Linked DNA regions of Oryzias latipes. The protein of the gene in region 2 binds, or shares a complex with, the protein of the main gene of each other region. Links are inferred from orthologs where the notes say so. Each region holds a gene or a part of one and is shown on either strand. Other genes may lie near its edges. The genes, in order: aryl hydrocarbon receptor nuclear translocator-like protein 1, circadian locomoter output cycles protein kaput and CLOCK-interacting pacemaker.

Region 1 (5,227 bases), on a different chromosome or scaffold from region 2:
CCTACTGCATCTCCAAAGATCACATATGTCACTCAATTCCTGGAAATGATCTAAAAGTGATTCTATGTTTAATGCTGAGTCACTTTTTCCTGCTTTATGTGAACATGTGTGGTTTCCCACAGAAAGTCTTTATTTTATTCAGTCATTTTCTAGACTAGCAGGACAAACTAATTACTTTTCATTAAGTCAGTGTTATGATGACCAGCGTGATATTGGTGGACATTTGCTCTGTCCGAAGCCAACTGTTACGTCATTAACGCCTTATTATTACCCTACATTTTCTTTATGAAACCCTCCAAAGTTTGCCTTTTCAAATCCAATCTGCTAGAATTTCAGCTGACTCACTTTAGTGCCTCTCCAGCTTAACACCATAGCCTTTTAAATAAAAATGCATAGGTGCATTGTTCTAAAATGTATGGCACATCTTGAACAAAAACAAGACTAATGCATTTTTTTTAAATACCTTAGTCATCTTTCACAAAAGTCTTTGTCACAGAGTCAGAACATGCAAAGTCAGGGGTAAATGGTAAATGGCGTATACTTATATAGTGCCTTTCTTCCTACAATGACAAAGTGCTTTACAGTCACAGACCCATTCACCCAGTCACACACACATTCACACACTGGCGCCCGCCTCCCACCAGAGGCAAGGTGTGGTTTAGTGTCTTGCCCAAGGACACTTCGACACATGGGCGTGCAAGGCGGGAATCGAACCTGCAACCTTACGATCATGGGACGACCGCCCTATCACTGCAACACGGCCGCCCCTCTACAAGCTTCAACACTTAAGAGCCATTCAGGTCCATTTGTTGCTGACCACAACCCAATAAACGCCACAAAGTCTGACTTCACCCTTTAAGAAAATAAAACATTTATATTTAGGTTCTTGTTGTTATTATGATATATATAGATCGACTGTTGCATAAATAAAACTTAAAGCTAGGATTTCATATTTTCTAAATATGAAGTGGTGTATCACTTTTGACAGAGTTTAAAATGACTTCCTTTCAAAATAAAAAACACCCCGTGTCATTAAATCATCTCAATGCAGCAGATTTAGTGTAATTGTAGTATAATGTCAAGAGGATTTTAAAAAACACTGTTGATTTTAATGTTTGTGGTACAGCCAGAAATGTGAAAAACTAACTAATCAAAATTAAATCAGAGCCAATTAAGAAATCCTTAATGTATTTTTAACTATCCGGTGCACTTAAAATCCTTGAAGTTGTTAAAAGAAAGAAAAAGAAAATCTGACTTAGGAACCACTACACCTCAACTCCGGTTGTGATCACCCATCTTTACTTGAGTTTCTGTGGAGCATAAACCTGTCAAAATGTTTCAGTCTGTTCTGTATTTCCACATCTGTGAATGAGTTGAATAAAGTTTGAGTTAGTCTACTTTTTAGCCCTACTGTACTACTTTATTGTTTCTTTATCCAGACTGACTTTAGCCCTTTATCCATGGCTAAAAGAGCCTCGTGTGGCAGCGGAGGTTATTTGGACGTTTTTGATCCAAATCCCACAGTTTACATTGTTTACATTAAAAATGTTGAGTGAAATTAAAAGACTTGAGGAATAATACCCTTCAAATGAATATTCCTGCAGACCAACAAAACCACATGATTCTCCAGAAGAATGTCTGATGACAGAAACACTTCAGAACTTCTCCTTGGTTTAATTTTCATGTGCAGTTTGGTGTAAACAGCGGCTCAGACAAGAGAGAGAGCAGCTTTTGCTGAGTCATCACAAGCTGCTGCTGCTGCTTTCTAGATGCTATCGTGAAGATCAGCACCAAAGCAGCTGCAGCGTCACGTCTGAGGTCCAGTCAGAACCACGACGAGCCCGGTACCGAACGGTAGACCCGCCGAGACTGATGCCGGCTGAGCAGCAGGAAAGGGAGGCACGAGCCTGACTCGAGACGGACAGTCAAAAGACGTCAACTGAAAAAAACAAACATTTCAATATATGGATCCCGTCTACTCAGCTCTGATTGAACCGTAAGAATACAAGCTTGATGGTTGCAGCACGATGATGAGGAAGGAATCGAACCACAGACCGCCGAGTCCCCAGTGAGTTGGGGTGGGAGACCAGCGGGGTCCCTCCGCAGTCAAACCCTGTGGCGGGGCTCAGACCGGGGAACCCCGGCTGCTCCGGAGCCACAGCGACATCCATCACTCTCTGCCAATGAATTCCAGCACGAACACTTCAGAAGACGCACGCGCGTGGCGTGGGGTTGCGACAACAAGCGGGTCCGCTCGGTTCCGTTCGGTTCTCTGCGGACAGATGTGGTTCTAGGAAATTGCAGCAGCAGGTTGGATGCTGTCGAAGAAACCGTGCGCCGAGCCCCAGTCCCGGCCTTTTTTTTTTTTTTACATCGTTAGCCTGCTAGCGCGGTGGCCGCGGTTGACCGTCCGCCGCTCGGTCACGCCTGGGCAGCGTTATCCAGCTCACGGGCCGGTGCTTCCCCGTCCCGGAGCCTCTTCGTAGCCCGACAATAGCTGGCAAAGAACGAGCCCGCACCAAAAGCCCGGCGGCTTCTGCTCCCGTAATCCAGAACACAAAGTCATCTTAGCGAGCTAATATTAGCACACAGCTGCTAACTACGGAACGCTAACTCCGAGACTTGGCCGCCGAGCTCCCGCTGACATGACTGCACAGCGCCGGGAAAACATCGAAGATCTCCACCGTGATTTAAACCCAGCCGAGTCACACAAAAAGACAAAGCGTTCGCTCGCCCTCAATTAGTACTTACAGACCGCCCGGAGTGACCCGTGGATCCATGGACAGCCGCCGGTGAGAAAGCAGTAGAGACACACAGAAGAACTGTGACATAAACGATTTTCAATCGGTGACCCACTTTCTTTTCACCGTCATGCCTGTCGGACCACTAACCTAGTTTTTCAGCCAATAGCGTTTGCTCATTGGCACTGGGTATTCCTCCGACCAATCAAACGCAAGCTTAGTCTGGAGAACCATGATTGACGTGCTGATTGACCAATGAGAGGAGAATTAGCCTAGGAATGCAGGGGCCAGTTATGTGTGCGTCTGTGTGTGTGAAAAGGAAAAGACTGAACCAAGCCGAGAGCAAGTACGCTCGTAACACTTACTGGTCCCGAGCCAAAAAAAATAAAATAAAACAAAGAAAGATAAAAAAATCACACATGAAATGTCAACTAATTTAACAGAATTACGGATACATCAGGTGGACAGAAGATAAAAACTGAACATAATTCAAGGAGTAAAGTAACAAAACATTTTAAGTCAGTATCTGTTTTTATTGATTGTGTTCATCTAAAAAAATGATTTCCATTAAAGTCATCATTACTTGAGTTCAAGCATTTTTTTAAATTAGAAATAGTTGCCGGAAAAATATTTGAGGAGCCTTCAAAGAAAAAAACCTAGTTTAGATTTACAGATTTAGACAAGTTGACTTTATACTTTCACTCCCTCTTCTGGCCATAAATAGTAATGATGCCATTTCTAGATTAACAATAAAAAAAGACTTGTATTACTAAACTTATGCTTGTCATACGGTAATTGATCCCTTCAAAGAAGGAAAAGTGAATTAATGTTTATTGTTTAAATGGTCAGTTTGAAAATAAATACTAACCCAATGAATATGCATTTTAAATATAAGATGTTTCTGACTTTGATGCAATAAAACATGTTAGTATTGTTTAAAACTACCTATTTGCTTTTTTGCTTCAAAAAGCTGTAAAAGTAGCAGCTGGAAGTTTAAAACAACACATTGTTGGCTCAAAAGAACAAAAGTTCTTTTATAGGTTTCTAAATGTTTTTTTGGTGTTGGCCATCCTATCTTTCTGATTTGATTTTACAGAAGAGCCCCTGCAGACCTTGAGGTCCTCTGATACTAGCCTCTCAGTTCTTCCAAAAGCCAGAACTAAAACCCACGGCGAGGCCTCGTTCCGTTTTTATGGATCTTTTCTGTGGAACATCCTCCCAGAGAACCTCAGGGTCACGGACACTGTTCATGTTTTTAAAGGAAGGCTCAACACCTCCCTTTTTTAATTTGGCTGAAATGTAGGATCTTTTTAGATATTGAATTTTTTTAATGTCACTTCTGTTTTTACTTCTTTGAATTTATCTTTTTAATGCATTGTCAACGATTGACTGTTTATTCATTTGATTGACAACCTTTTTCACTTTTATGTATTTGATTCCTTTTACATTTAGTTTTAGCTCCAGTGTTTTCCTCAGACGGATCCTCCACATCGGGGATTGGATCTTCTCGGTGAACAGGGTCGCTGCAGTGGGATCTCCTGGGTCTGGCTCCTTGCTTTGATCGGGGAATCCTAGCCTCCTTGAATAGGAGTTTGTGGGGCAAATGGTAAATGGTAAATGGCGTATACTTATATAGCGCTTTCTACCTTCTTACGAAGGCCCAAAGCGCTTTAATGTCACAGTCCCATTCACCCATGCACACACACATTCACACACTGATGGCGGCTCCGCTGCCAAACACTGGCGCCAACCTCCCACCAGAGGCAAGGTGGGGTTCAGTGTCTTGCCCAAGGACGCTTCGGCACATGGGCGTGCAAGGCGGGAATCGAACCTGCAATCTTACGATCATGAGTCGACCGCCCTACCACTGCACCACGGCCGCCCACAGGCGAGGGACTCAACCTCAAGGGACTGTGCTGTCCTCTCTCCTGTTCACTCTGTACACATAGGACTTCACCTACAACTCCCACCTCTGACACCTGCAGAAGTTTTCAGATAACGGTGCTATTGGGGGCTGTGTTTCAGGGGGGGGGCCATCTCTGACTTTGTTAGCTGGTGTGAAGTTAACCACCTGCTGCTTAACACCAGCAAGACAAAGGAGCTGGTCCTGGACTTCAGGAGGTCCTCACCATCACAGTCACCGGTGACCATCCAGGGTTCAGACATTGAGGTCGTGGACACATTTAAATATCTGGATGTTCACCTCAATAACAGACTGGACTGGTCCAACAACAAGGATGCTTCATCTGCTGAGAGACTGAGATCGTTTGGTGTGTGCAGACAGCTGCTCAGGCCTTTCTATCTATGACACTGTGGGGGCCTCAGTGGTCCTTTATGGAGTTGTGTGCTGGGCGGGGGGCAGTACAGAGACAGGAGGAAGCTCAACAAACTGGTTAGGAAGGCCGGCTCTGTCCTGGGCTACACACTGGAGTCCATGGAGGAGGTGGCGGACAGGAGGATGTTGGGTAAGCTAACATCCATCATGG
Region 2 (5,202 bases):
CATTTTGACAAAAATGAAAATACCTCATAAATGTCAAAGAAACACTTATTTTTTTCTTAGTACCTCATTTAAAAAGGCTAATTTAAAAAAATATATATTATGATTTCTTCACTAAAATCCAACAGAATGAAAGCTAATGTAACTGTATGGCACAACTCAGTTCAGTATGCATGTGTCATCATTTCTCACCCTGCGTCAGCCTTTTCACAAGCTCAACTTCTTTTCTGAGGGGTGGATGAAAGGGATCGAGGTCAAGGCCGACTCAATGGTGATCTTTAGTGTTGAGGTCATTGGCTCATGAATGGAAAACCGACCACAAGAAAGTTAGGGTGGTCAATCAAAACTGCAGAAGAAACGATAATAGAATAGAAGAAAATAGGTCAAAACAGACGCGTGGAACTAAAAACTGTCTAATGTATTTAGTCTCTACTGAAATGTGGCTTTCTAGAGAGGATCCTTTTTTTCACAACACCCAGTTTCATGACTCAGATTTAGCCCAAATGCTAGCTCACCATGTTGGGTAGGCTTTACAAACAAGATATCCTAAATCATTGAATTTAAGCTTTCAAATTACACATTTCTGTCAGGTTGATTATTCAAGTGATGCCTTTTTTATTTTCTGTCTTTACAAACCTTGCATTCATTTTCTTCAATCTGCCTGACTGGCACTTACTGTTTCTGATTCTTTAAGATTCTTTCAGCTGGCAAAGAGCTGGTCTGGTGCAAACTTACAGCACTGGTAGGCTGTTTTGACCATTACTGGCATGAACTAGTTGCATCTGTGTTTGTAGTTCAGTGCAATTTCAGCATTTGTTGAAACTGGAGACGTAGAGCTATTTTGCTCATTTGTCCAGCCAGACAAATCTAGGCCTAACACTATAGGGACCCCTCCACATCCTTGTACTTTTTTTTTTTTTTAAACCTACCCTCTGGAATGTCCAACGGAGGGGAAACTTGCTGATAGCCTTCCAGGAAAGAGAAATCCACGCATTTAACCTGCAACACAACACAAACGGTCTAATTTATTACCAACATGACCCGAGAATTCAATCAATGTTTAACACCCATCTTTAGACTAGCTTAAGTTAAGGAGAATAAAAATATATGAAATGTATGCAAGTGAATTCACTGGAAGCCACAGAAATTTTAGGAATATTTATGGTGTCAAGTCTCATTGGCACATTTCCAACAAGTTTGTGCTGCCAAAATAATAGACTACAACTCCACGACCTTTCGTTTTTACCTTTAGCTCTGCTAGTTTTAAGGTTACTGTTATTGCAAACATTTCAGTTCATCAAGCTCTATCACTGATAATGAGTCGATCTTTTTTAAGTGGTAAAAATCCTAATTGCATGAAAAAAAAATATCTGGCTTAAACTGACACAATAAGCTCTCCTTCTGAAATCTGTTTGCCATGCCAGTTTCATGTACAAGCCATACCGGTTATTAGGCCAATTGGAGACTAGAATCTGAACAGACACACTAATACTTTAAAAATGAACAGGAAACATTTGTGCGTGCAACAGAAAACGACTTAATCGCCGCAAAAGAGATTTTGACCCAAGTTCGCCTAATTTTAGAGAGCAGGGATCTTCAAAAACCATTCACAGTACGTGTGGGCAAATTTATTTGACCTACAAGTACCAACAAGTTGCTTGATGAATGACTAGAAAAGGTCATGATCCGAAGCAAACTGGTCAAAACAACCATCTATACATATCCAGATGGTGTTGCTGAGGTTTTGACCTAGCTAATAACGACCTATAAAGCTTCTCAGACATGACAGCCTTGCATTCTATTCACAATAAACGATAAAATGTCAAAACAAACATGAAAATGTGCATGTCTTTAAAAAAAAAAAAAACTACTTTCTATTTAGCAGTTTATACATAATCAAGCTTAAAATAGCTTTTTTTAAATCCAAAAACTCAGTCATATTTCATAAAAATGAAGAAAACTGTTAAACTTAGACACCACAAATAAGAAATGTTGGTATATAATAAATAAGTTGAAATAGAACGTATTTTTGAATAATGAATTCGTCCCACCAGCTACCAGAAAATAGATTTTCTTTGGATGATACAGTGACTCAATGAGATGACTCAAAAATACGAGTGGGCAGGAAGGTCAAAAGTGGCTACATTAAAAAGCGAGCAGAAAAGGTCATCAACAAGCCAGATTCTACTTTAATTTGCTTTTTTTTTTTTTTTTAAATGTATTTTGGGCTTTGATTCGAGATCCACAGCCACATTAGCAGTGAAGAGCCTCAGCTAAGCTTCTTCGTTTACGAATTAAACGGTGACATGTAGCTTGACGTGTTGTTGTTGTTGTCAGTTGTTGAGGCGGAAGGATATTTAAAAGAAAAACTAGAGGAGAGCCATATTCAACGTACCTTTTAATGCCACAGGTGTCGTTATACAATCGGAGGAGCAACCCATGTAGCTAGCTAGCAAGCTAACTAAGCTAGAGCCAAAAAGTGACCGTTTGACTGAGATGTTTAATTCTCCCAATGTCCTTGTCGTAGCCTGCTAACAGCCGAAAACACTAAAGGAGAGGTGAAGGCTTTACGACACGCGAAATAAAGTAAAAATTAAACAGAGCTCAGTTTTTTTCCCTTTAAGTTAAGCTGACGCCGCGCCTGGAGCTGTCACGCAACAACAACTGACATTGAAGACAAAATAATAATCTCCAAAAACACAGCTTTTGCTCCACTGAGTGAGTGAAAGACACAAACTTAGCTTCAATACCAACAGCGCTGCTAGTTATCAAGGAAACCGGCAAAAACCCAAATACGACCGCGTGACAAACGCTCCAAACCACCGAAGGTGGAAATATTTTCGCGGCAGATGTATTTACACACATACTCAGCCGCCATGCCCGCGCATAGACACTCACCGATGAGAAAACGTGCACGCGCTCGCCCACTGATACTGGCTGCTCAAATGTGGGTCACTGGGCCTTGCTCTCTCTCGAGCGTGCGGAAACAGTCCCGCAGTCCCAACGCTTCCGCACACAAAATATATCTATCTTCTTAACAGCCGCACAATGAGCCGCCAACATAATAAATGCATCAAAATCTTTTACCTTCACGAAAACTCGACTATAGCCTCCGTGCCTTTCTTACTTGAGCGTTGAATCGAAGTGGTGGGGCCAGGAGGACTTGGGGTTGGAGAGAAAAACAGGAGCGAGGAGGCCTACTTCATATTACGACGTACAGTCATGCGCAATAGAGACAGTAGGGCGCACTATTTTGCACGTTCCTAAGCAGCAGCTGATCTTCGAAGGGGATATGATTCCGCCTTTCGATTAATTTCACCCCATGCCATTAGAGATGTATGACCCTCATTAGAAATCAAGAGCTAGACTGACTCTGTGCATCTTGGCTTTTTCCTTTTTTTCCCTTTCTTTCTCTTTTCCCCCCCGTATAGAATTAGAGGCGGGGACTGTCCAGGATGTACATTTTCCCGGTAATCTGGAATCTGTACATTATGTCCCACTAAGTCAGGGCCCTTTCACCACTAATGGGCTCTCTACACTTTTATGCAGCATGTTGTGCTTGTGTTTTTATAGAATTAGTTTACAGCCACTGAAATACATAAACAGTTTTAAGGTATGTCATATTTCTAAGATAAAAACAAAAACAAAATACAAATAAAAAACACAATTACAAAAAATGAAAACATATATATGAGATTAGTTTAATAATAGAAAGTTTAGGTTGACGTATGAATAAGTCTTTACAACAAGATGGAAAGTTGAATGCATCAATTTTAAAATGATAAATATAGGAAAATAAATCATAATGATTACTTTTAAAGATGATTTTGCTATTAATTTAAAAAGGGAGAGGAAAGTTAAAAATTACAAGAGAAACGGTTATGAGATTAAAAACCCACTTTGATTTTGAACATGCTCTTGTGGCATTTTTCTGATGATGGTGGGCATAAAGTAACTTAAGCTAAAAATTGGATTTCTGAATTGTCTTTATTCAAATTGTTGGGAATCAGGAGCAGACGCAAAAATGCAGTAGGAACAAGCTTGTAGGTGGGACATAGAGCCTACAATGGCAAGCTGCATGCTCTAGATGACTAGACTCATGTATTTTTCACTTGTCCTAGCTGGCATTTGGCTCAAAACTGAACGACTGGATAGCTCCAATATTTGTCGCCATTTTTGTTGTGCCGGTAATGTTAGGATGGGGTTGTGAGCTAGCAAGAGTGTTGGATGACGGGAAATGGGGAAGGGCTTACTCCGAGGGCAAACACTCTCGTCGTTAACTCGGAGGCAAACTTTTAACAACTACTGCTGCTCTGAAGAAAATATGTCCTAGAACATAACGCATATTTTTTTGTTTGGGCTAAAAACGTCATAATTAAAATATCACAATGAAAACGATTAAAAAAAATGAAAAGATAATCTAAGAGTGTCCTGAAAAAAAACATTATTGAGATCAATAACAAACATGTTAAATAAAAAGTCAAAGTAACTGTTTCAGAAGCTGAAAGTATGAGACAAGACAGTCACAAGCATGAAATAAAAGGCTTTGCACATGCAATACAATGAGGTTGACTCCATGTTCAGAAAGCAGAATTACAGATTTATTTGAGATTTTTTTAATTTTACGAATCTGTTTAAAACATTTTGTGGAAATGTTTAATCCAGAATTGGACGTGTTCTAAAAGCATTACTAGACATCATTTTTACAGGACTGTATTCAGGTAATTATTACATTGATTGTAACTGAATCCCTCAGAGTTTAATTCTCAGTTCAAAACCGGTACATGTCTACCAAACATCCATGTTTTGATCATAAATTATAAAGATTTGCAAACTTACAATGCACCAAAAATGTTTTGCCAAGAGGCTACAGCATAGATCTTACCTTTTTACCAAAGAGTTGTTCATGGGTATCCCATCATTTAGACTTTTATCTCACAAGTTCAACTTTTTTTTAATTAATCAAAGCTTTTTGTGGAATAACTTGCACAACCTCATATGACACAATCATAGCAGACTGTTTATCTTATAGTTTCACAGTAATTCTTTCTCATACTTATTTATTTATTCCTTTCAAGAAGCATAATAAAATAATTCTGACTGTTTCATATCTTAATTTTATTAATTTTGATCTTTTGTCTCAAATATATCTATTTTAATTTAATCCACTTTTTATTCCTTTTATTTAAGCTTTGTATCGTATAT
Region 3 (5,408 bases), on a different chromosome or scaffold from region 2:
TCCTTAAAACGTGACGTAAAAAAAAACCAACACAAACATTTACCGCGTGTAAAGAAAAAAATGAATGACAGAAATGTTAGGCTTTAAAAACGTCTACATTAAAAGAGCAGTAAAAAAAATAAAACCCTTTTTTTATGATATGAACTATTGCTAAGCCAAAGGAAGCATCAGCTGCTGCTGAATCCATGTTCGTCCGTCTGTGGACACATCCTTCAGAAATTGGCTTTTTGGAATGATTTCATATAAAAAATCTGACTGGAAACTAGAATACACATAAAATCAGACAATGTTTTAATAACAAAACCCTTTTCTGCTTCTTCACAACTTGCATTCAGCATGAAAAAGGTCTCAGGACTTGTACTTATTGAGCAGGAACAGGAATGGAAGACCTGTGATGCGGTTCAGGTCCTTGAGAACCGCTTCAGCCGCATGACCAAAGGATTTACAATTTTTAAATTATTGCGGTGCTTTGCTGCACAGGAGGACAGAAACAGCAGCGCAGCAGGAAGATCCTGTAACGGGTCTGGTCTCCTGGCATAGATGGGGGGGCAGAACAGGCATTTATGGTGGAAAGAAAACAACCTCCTGTGTTTGGTCAGAGATCTCCACTCCTGCAGGATTCCTCTTCTTTCCAGAGGTTCCAGTCAATCCCAACGTTTCCTGTAAATGTACATCCAGCTGCTTTCTGGAGCCTCTCGAGTTTGTTGTAGGCAAAAATCGTCAAAATGTCTCAGACGGTCTGCAGTTCGATGCCTCTGTGAGAAGCCTTGGGTGTCAGGGCCACCAGCAGCTGAATGTAGGTCACTCCTCACTGCCAGCGGGGGCGGGAGCGTGCTGCGGGGCTAATTACTTCCAGCCCATCTGTCTGTGCACACACCCCGGTCCTGCCCCGGTGGTCCTTTCCCTCTAAGTGTGAGGGATTCCTGCCACACCGTCACAGCTCTGATCAGCTCTTTAGCCCATATGAACGGCCTTCTCCCGCTCCTCCTCCTGGAGGCTGGCCTGCAGCTGAAGACGCAAGCTGGCGTCGCCGCTCTGCAAAGCGCGGAGGAAGAGGTCCGTCTGCTCCCTAAGGCGGTCCAGGTCGCTTTGGGTGTGCCGGTTCTGCCGGAGGAGCTCCTTGGTGCGCAGAGTGATGTCCAGCAGGCCGGACTTGCTCAGGATGTTGTAGGTGTTGCAGAAGCGCTTCCTCTTTGCGTCTGAATCACAGTCACTTAGGCTGCATTGATCGGAGTCGTTGTTTTCCCCGGAGCTCGGACGTAGACGGGAAAGGGCGGGGTCTTTGGAGCCAGTGGTGGGGGTCAGAACATCAGTCGATATGACAGCTGATGAAGGCTTCTCCCTTCTCGGACTGCTGCTGGTTTCTGTGGTTTGGAAGGACGGCCTGCTCTGGTGCAGAGGAGACGTGGTACCGGGCGTAGCAGGACGACCGGGCGTGGTCGAGTCAGAGATGCTGCCACACAGAGTCTTCTCTCTCTGACCGGCCTCCCACTGGTTGGAGTTCAAGGAGCTACTGCTCCTCCCTGACCCCGAGGAAGAGGAAGCAGCTCCTCTCCCGGAAGAACCACTGGAGTCACGTGGATATGGGGCGATCTTGGGGTAGGATTTCAGAATGGGGAGGTACTTCTTGGAGCGTTTGCGTCTTGAAGTGCACTCTTTGGAAGCGGAGGAGGTTTGGCCAGAGACCACAGGCTGGATGAACACGAACGGAGGCTGCTGCACCACCGGCTGCACCACCTTTACTGTGGGATTTACGCCCCAAGGCTTCATAGCTGGAGGATTATCCGCAGGCTGAGGAGACAAAAACGAGACCTTCAGAAACAGTCATTAGTCTAACTGCGGGTGTCTAAGGAAAGTCCTAACAGGAGTGACTGATCACAAAGTCTGTGCTCTGACCGGTGCAGGAAACATGTCATTTCACATTTCAGTGACGCTGATAACCGTCATCTGGGTAAAAACATCAGATGTAGTTTGGGTTTAAACGGTTGAAATGGTTGTGGATGCATTTCCAGTCCTAGTCTGTCCATCTTTTAATCTATTTTAAAGTGATCCTTTCATTTTAACTAAATAAATATTCATGAATTTTCCTTTTTTTCCTTAATATATGTCCTCCATCATCAGAAAAAAAATGTTGAAAACACAATTTTCATCAAAGTTGGTCTTTTTTTAAACTGCAGACAAGCATCGAGATGAAAGCTCAGTTTTTTTGCATCCCTGCTCATTTACAACCACAGTAAGTGTGAAATGAAAGAAAAAGGAAAAGATTTACAACCAACTGAAAGCATGTCAGAATGTAAAACACGTAAAATAAAACAAAGTTTTCATTCATTTGTTTCAGCTCTAAATTAAATTTATTCTTTAAAACCATTTGTTTCATTTCAAAATGCTTTAGTCATGCCACGTGGGACTAACTTCAGCTGTATTAGAGAAATAAAATCAAAACAATGGCCAGCTGATCAGTAAAAACAAAAGTGATCATGAGTGTCAAACCCCAAAAAGTGACTACTAAACCTATATTTCAAAAAAGTTTTTGGTGCTAAAGTCCGTTACCTGCTTGAGAAGGACGTTGTTCATGATGATCATTGGAGAAAGGCTGGAGTAGGACCCCCCCACCACAGCCAACCCAGAGGACACTGACCCGGCACTCCGGTGACCTTGTCTGACCGCTGGATGAGGGGAATCCTCGGAGTCGGTGGTGTCCATGGAGCTCGTCTGCTCTGAACTGGCATCTGTGAGACAGACAGACGGAAGTGAGAGTCAGCTGGAAGGACGCATCACACACGTCAATCGCCAAGAAGTAGTCGGTACCGGAGAACCCGGAGTCTCTCTCGGAATCCGGCCGAGAGGTTCTGGACTTCATGATGTGGACTCGGTCTCCTGTCCTCGGGTGACCGGCGGCCTTCCTCTTGGTGCTCATCTCTGTAAAAATCAGAAAAACAAGAGGTGACCTACTTAGACAAACAAGTTTAGCATTAGCTCGTGCGTTTTTAGGTGATTAGCATAAAATGTTTAATTTGGAAATCGCGAATATTAATTTTGGGTAATAGAACTACAAACTCTGATCTATATTTTCCTTTAATCCGTTTACTTTATAAACAGACAGCTAAAACACAAACAGATCAAGGAGAACATTAGCAACATTAGCTTAACGGGTACCGAGCACAAAGTTTACGACGCAAAATGTAGGTTTTACGGGGCTCAGATACTTAAATACAAAGAGATAAAAGAATCTAAAATCGAAACATTTTCTTTTACTGTTTTATCAGTAATTAGAATAACAACGTTTATACATAAGGGTGAATTATGCTAAGTAGAAACAAGCTAGCAATAAGAATAAGCTAACGAGCGATAAAGTAGGACAAAATTATCTGAGGGAATAAAGTAAACGACAAAAGAAAAAAGAGCTTACTTCTTTTTTTTAGGTTTTGTTCCTACGTTTCGTTTCAAAAGCGGAGAATCCGGAGCCTGCCTTCGGTTTTCCGTCGATGTCTCCTCTCCCTCGGCTAATGCACCGCCCAGTACCGTAGACAGAAGCGCAGTGTCCCACGGTGGCGGACACGAGACAGCCCGCCCCTCCCCTGCTCGCGGGGTCATTCACGTGCAGAGCACCGTGGCGAAAACCGTCCCCATTATTTTTATTGTTTGCCCTAAAACTCAACTAAAACAAAACATACACTACATAAATATGTATCTTTATCGATAAAAATTAAAAATTAAAAAACTAACCTAAAAATATTATATCTGTTAAAGTCGGTCTGCCAAATATGGTGTGTGTGGGCGTGACTTCATCGCGAATGCGAGCTACGTCACATTTTTAAGGCGGTACCGTCCGCCCATTTGTTGTTGTCCAGACTTCTGATTGGTCAGCAGCGCAAGCAGCAGGAAAACGTGACCACTGCCATGTGTGGCGAGGACATCAAACATCGAATAAAAAAATAATAAAATACACAAAACAAATCAGGAAAACGGGAAACCTTTGATTTATTTAATAAAGTCATCGATTTAAGATTGCAGTACAACACAAAAATACATTAGAATGTCTTACTTTGTGGGTTCTAATGTCATTCTATTGGTTATTTTTGTGTTCAACATTTAAAAAAAAAATCAGAATTATCAGATGTAATCTCAGTAAAAATGGGTTAAAACACAAAAGTCTCTCATGAAGTTTGTAACTTTAAGTGGGTGGACTTTAAGAGCAAAGACTTTCTAGAGAATTCCTTATCTCCTTGTCTCCTCTGAAGTCCTTTTTAGACTAAACGTTTGGGCCGTCAGACCTTGGGTAAACTGTCAGAGGCCTCATATTTCTGAGCTGCAGAAGCGCCCCCATCATACATGTCCTAAACTGCAGGTCTGCAGATGTAAAGGATGAAACAAATCTTTGATTATTCTCTTCTGTCCTTGGCAGATTGAAGGCGGCTCTTCTGCTTCTCACTGACCTGCTGAAAGAAAAGAAGTGACAGAAATGGGTTAGAAAATACTCCAGATGTGACCTAACTTTGTGTGAGAATTTGATCTTATTTTAAGTAGTTATTTATCACTACTTACTAATTTTTGTTTAACTTTTGAGCAAGAAAATCCTGCAGAGGGATGTTTTGTTGAGTTTGTCAGCAGCAGAATCGGAAATGTTTTGAATCTTTATTTATTTATGGAGGATTTTACCTTGCAGAAGACATTGAGATGAATTAAATTTAAAAAATACGAGAAGTTTCTGTTCAAAATGCTTGTATTTTGGCATCAAAACCTGAACAGAAAGGAACTTTTTGGCTTTCATCTGTCAGTCACATAGCTCCCCCTGGTGGCTGAGAAACAAACTGACTCCCACATCCTTGCAGGTGAAAACTGACCTGGAAAGAGGAGATAAAGACTGAAATCGAGGGCCAGGGATTCAAATGTGAGCATCTCTGTTACACATATGGTTGTTTTCTTCTGTCTTTGATATTTTCTGTAATAATCCCATTAATGTGGGAGAACAGGAAAAACACACAGTGTGTGTCCAACTGAATTTTCTTTGATAGATATTTCAGATGCAAGTGCGCCTCTCAGAGGATTTAGACATAATAACAGCAAAGAAATAATATAAAAAAGATGTAATAGTTGACATAAGAATCTGATCTGCTGTTTTGCAATGATCTCCCCTCATTTTGTGTGAATTTTCTTGGTATTTTCTCTCATTTGTTTATGCCAGTGGCTCAGGTCAATGTTATTATTCCCGTGGGTTGAATCCTGACGGCTCTGTCTGTGATTTAAAGGTGCATTTGCAGCGTTTCACCACTTCTGTTCGAGGAGAGGCCGTTGCAGCATGGCCGGCCCTCCCTATACGCGAAATACGCAGCCCCGTAGGGCCCCCGCCACCACCAGGGCCCCGAAGTGGCGAAAAAAATTAAAAAGAGCCAAATCTGGCCACCCAT

Evidence for each region.
Region 1: the proteins of circadian locomoter output cycles protein kaput (region 2) and aryl hydrocarbon receptor nuclear translocator-like protein 1 are in contact, whole or in part, in a crystal structure (PDB 4F3L), measured with the Mus musculus proteins. The link is inferred for Oryzias latipes from reciprocal best matches to the Homo sapiens genes CLOCK and BMAL1. Residues at the interface, in NP_001276755.1 of Mus musculus: Arg46, Gln49, Phe50, Leu53, Ile54, Glu56, Leu57, Met60, Leu61, Pro62, Lys70, Ser71, Leu74, Gln75, Ser77, Ile78, Phe80, Leu81, Arg82, His84, Lys85, Thr88, Glu95, Ile96, Gln98, Asp99, Trp100, Pro102, Phe104, Leu105; in XP_030097882.1 of Mus musculus: Lys70, Met71, Phe74, Ile75, Glu77, Leu78, Ser80, Leu81, Val82, Asp93, Leu95, Leu98, Arg99, Ala101, Val102, His104, Met105, Lys106, Leu108, Arg109, Gly110, Ala118, Tyr120, Lys121, Pro122, Phe124, Leu125, Asp127, Asp128, Glu129.
Region 3: the proteins of circadian locomoter output cycles protein kaput (region 2) and CLOCK-interacting pacemaker are in contact, whole or in part, in a crystal structure (PDB 5VJI), measured with the Mus musculus proteins. The link is inferred for Oryzias latipes from reciprocal best matches to the Homo sapiens genes CLOCK and CIPC. Residues at the interface, in NP_001276755.1 of Mus musculus: Gln519, Leu526, Lys527, Leu530, Arg533, Ile537, Asn540, Ile541, Arg543, Gln544, Glu547, Leu548, Ile551, Gln554, Leu555, Val558; in XP_006515773.1 of Mus musculus: Asn401, Thr402, Val405, Leu406, Ser409, Leu411, Ile414, Thr415, Thr418, Leu421, Ile422, Asn425, Thr428, Gln429, Leu432, Leu435, Lys436, Thr439, Gln440, Phe442, Ile443, Thr446.

Annotation. Positions count from the first base shown.
Region 1 is NC_019864.2:422,667-427,893, forward strand, and holds the start of aryl hydrocarbon receptor nuclear translocator-like protein 1, read right to left. Parts: upstream 3,240-5,227; 5' UTR 2,752-3,239; intron 1-2,751. UniProt on the Homo sapiens protein: Transcriptional activator which forms a core component of the circadian clock.
Region 2 is NC_019859.2:11,192,318-11,197,519, forward strand, and holds the start of circadian locomoter output cycles protein kaput, read right to left. Parts: upstream 3,377-5,202; 5' UTR 3,125-3,376; exon of another isoform or gene 3,085-3,124; intron 3,024-3,084; exon of another isoform or gene 2,896-3,023; intron 2,869-2,895; exon of another isoform or gene 2,393-2,868; intron 997-2,392; 5' UTR 927-996; intron 344-926; 5' UTR 190-343; intron 1-189. UniProt on the Homo sapiens protein: Transcriptional activator which forms a core component of the circadian clock.
Region 3 is NC_019882.2:1,941,055-1,946,462, reverse strand, and holds the start of CLOCK-interacting pacemaker, read right to left. Parts: upstream 3,564-5,408; 5' UTR 3,410-3,563; intron 2,920-3,409; 5' UTR 2,918-2,919; coding exon 2,809-2,917; intron 2,730-2,808; coding exon 2,551-2,729; intron 1,792-2,550; coding exon 955-1,791; 3' UTR 1-954.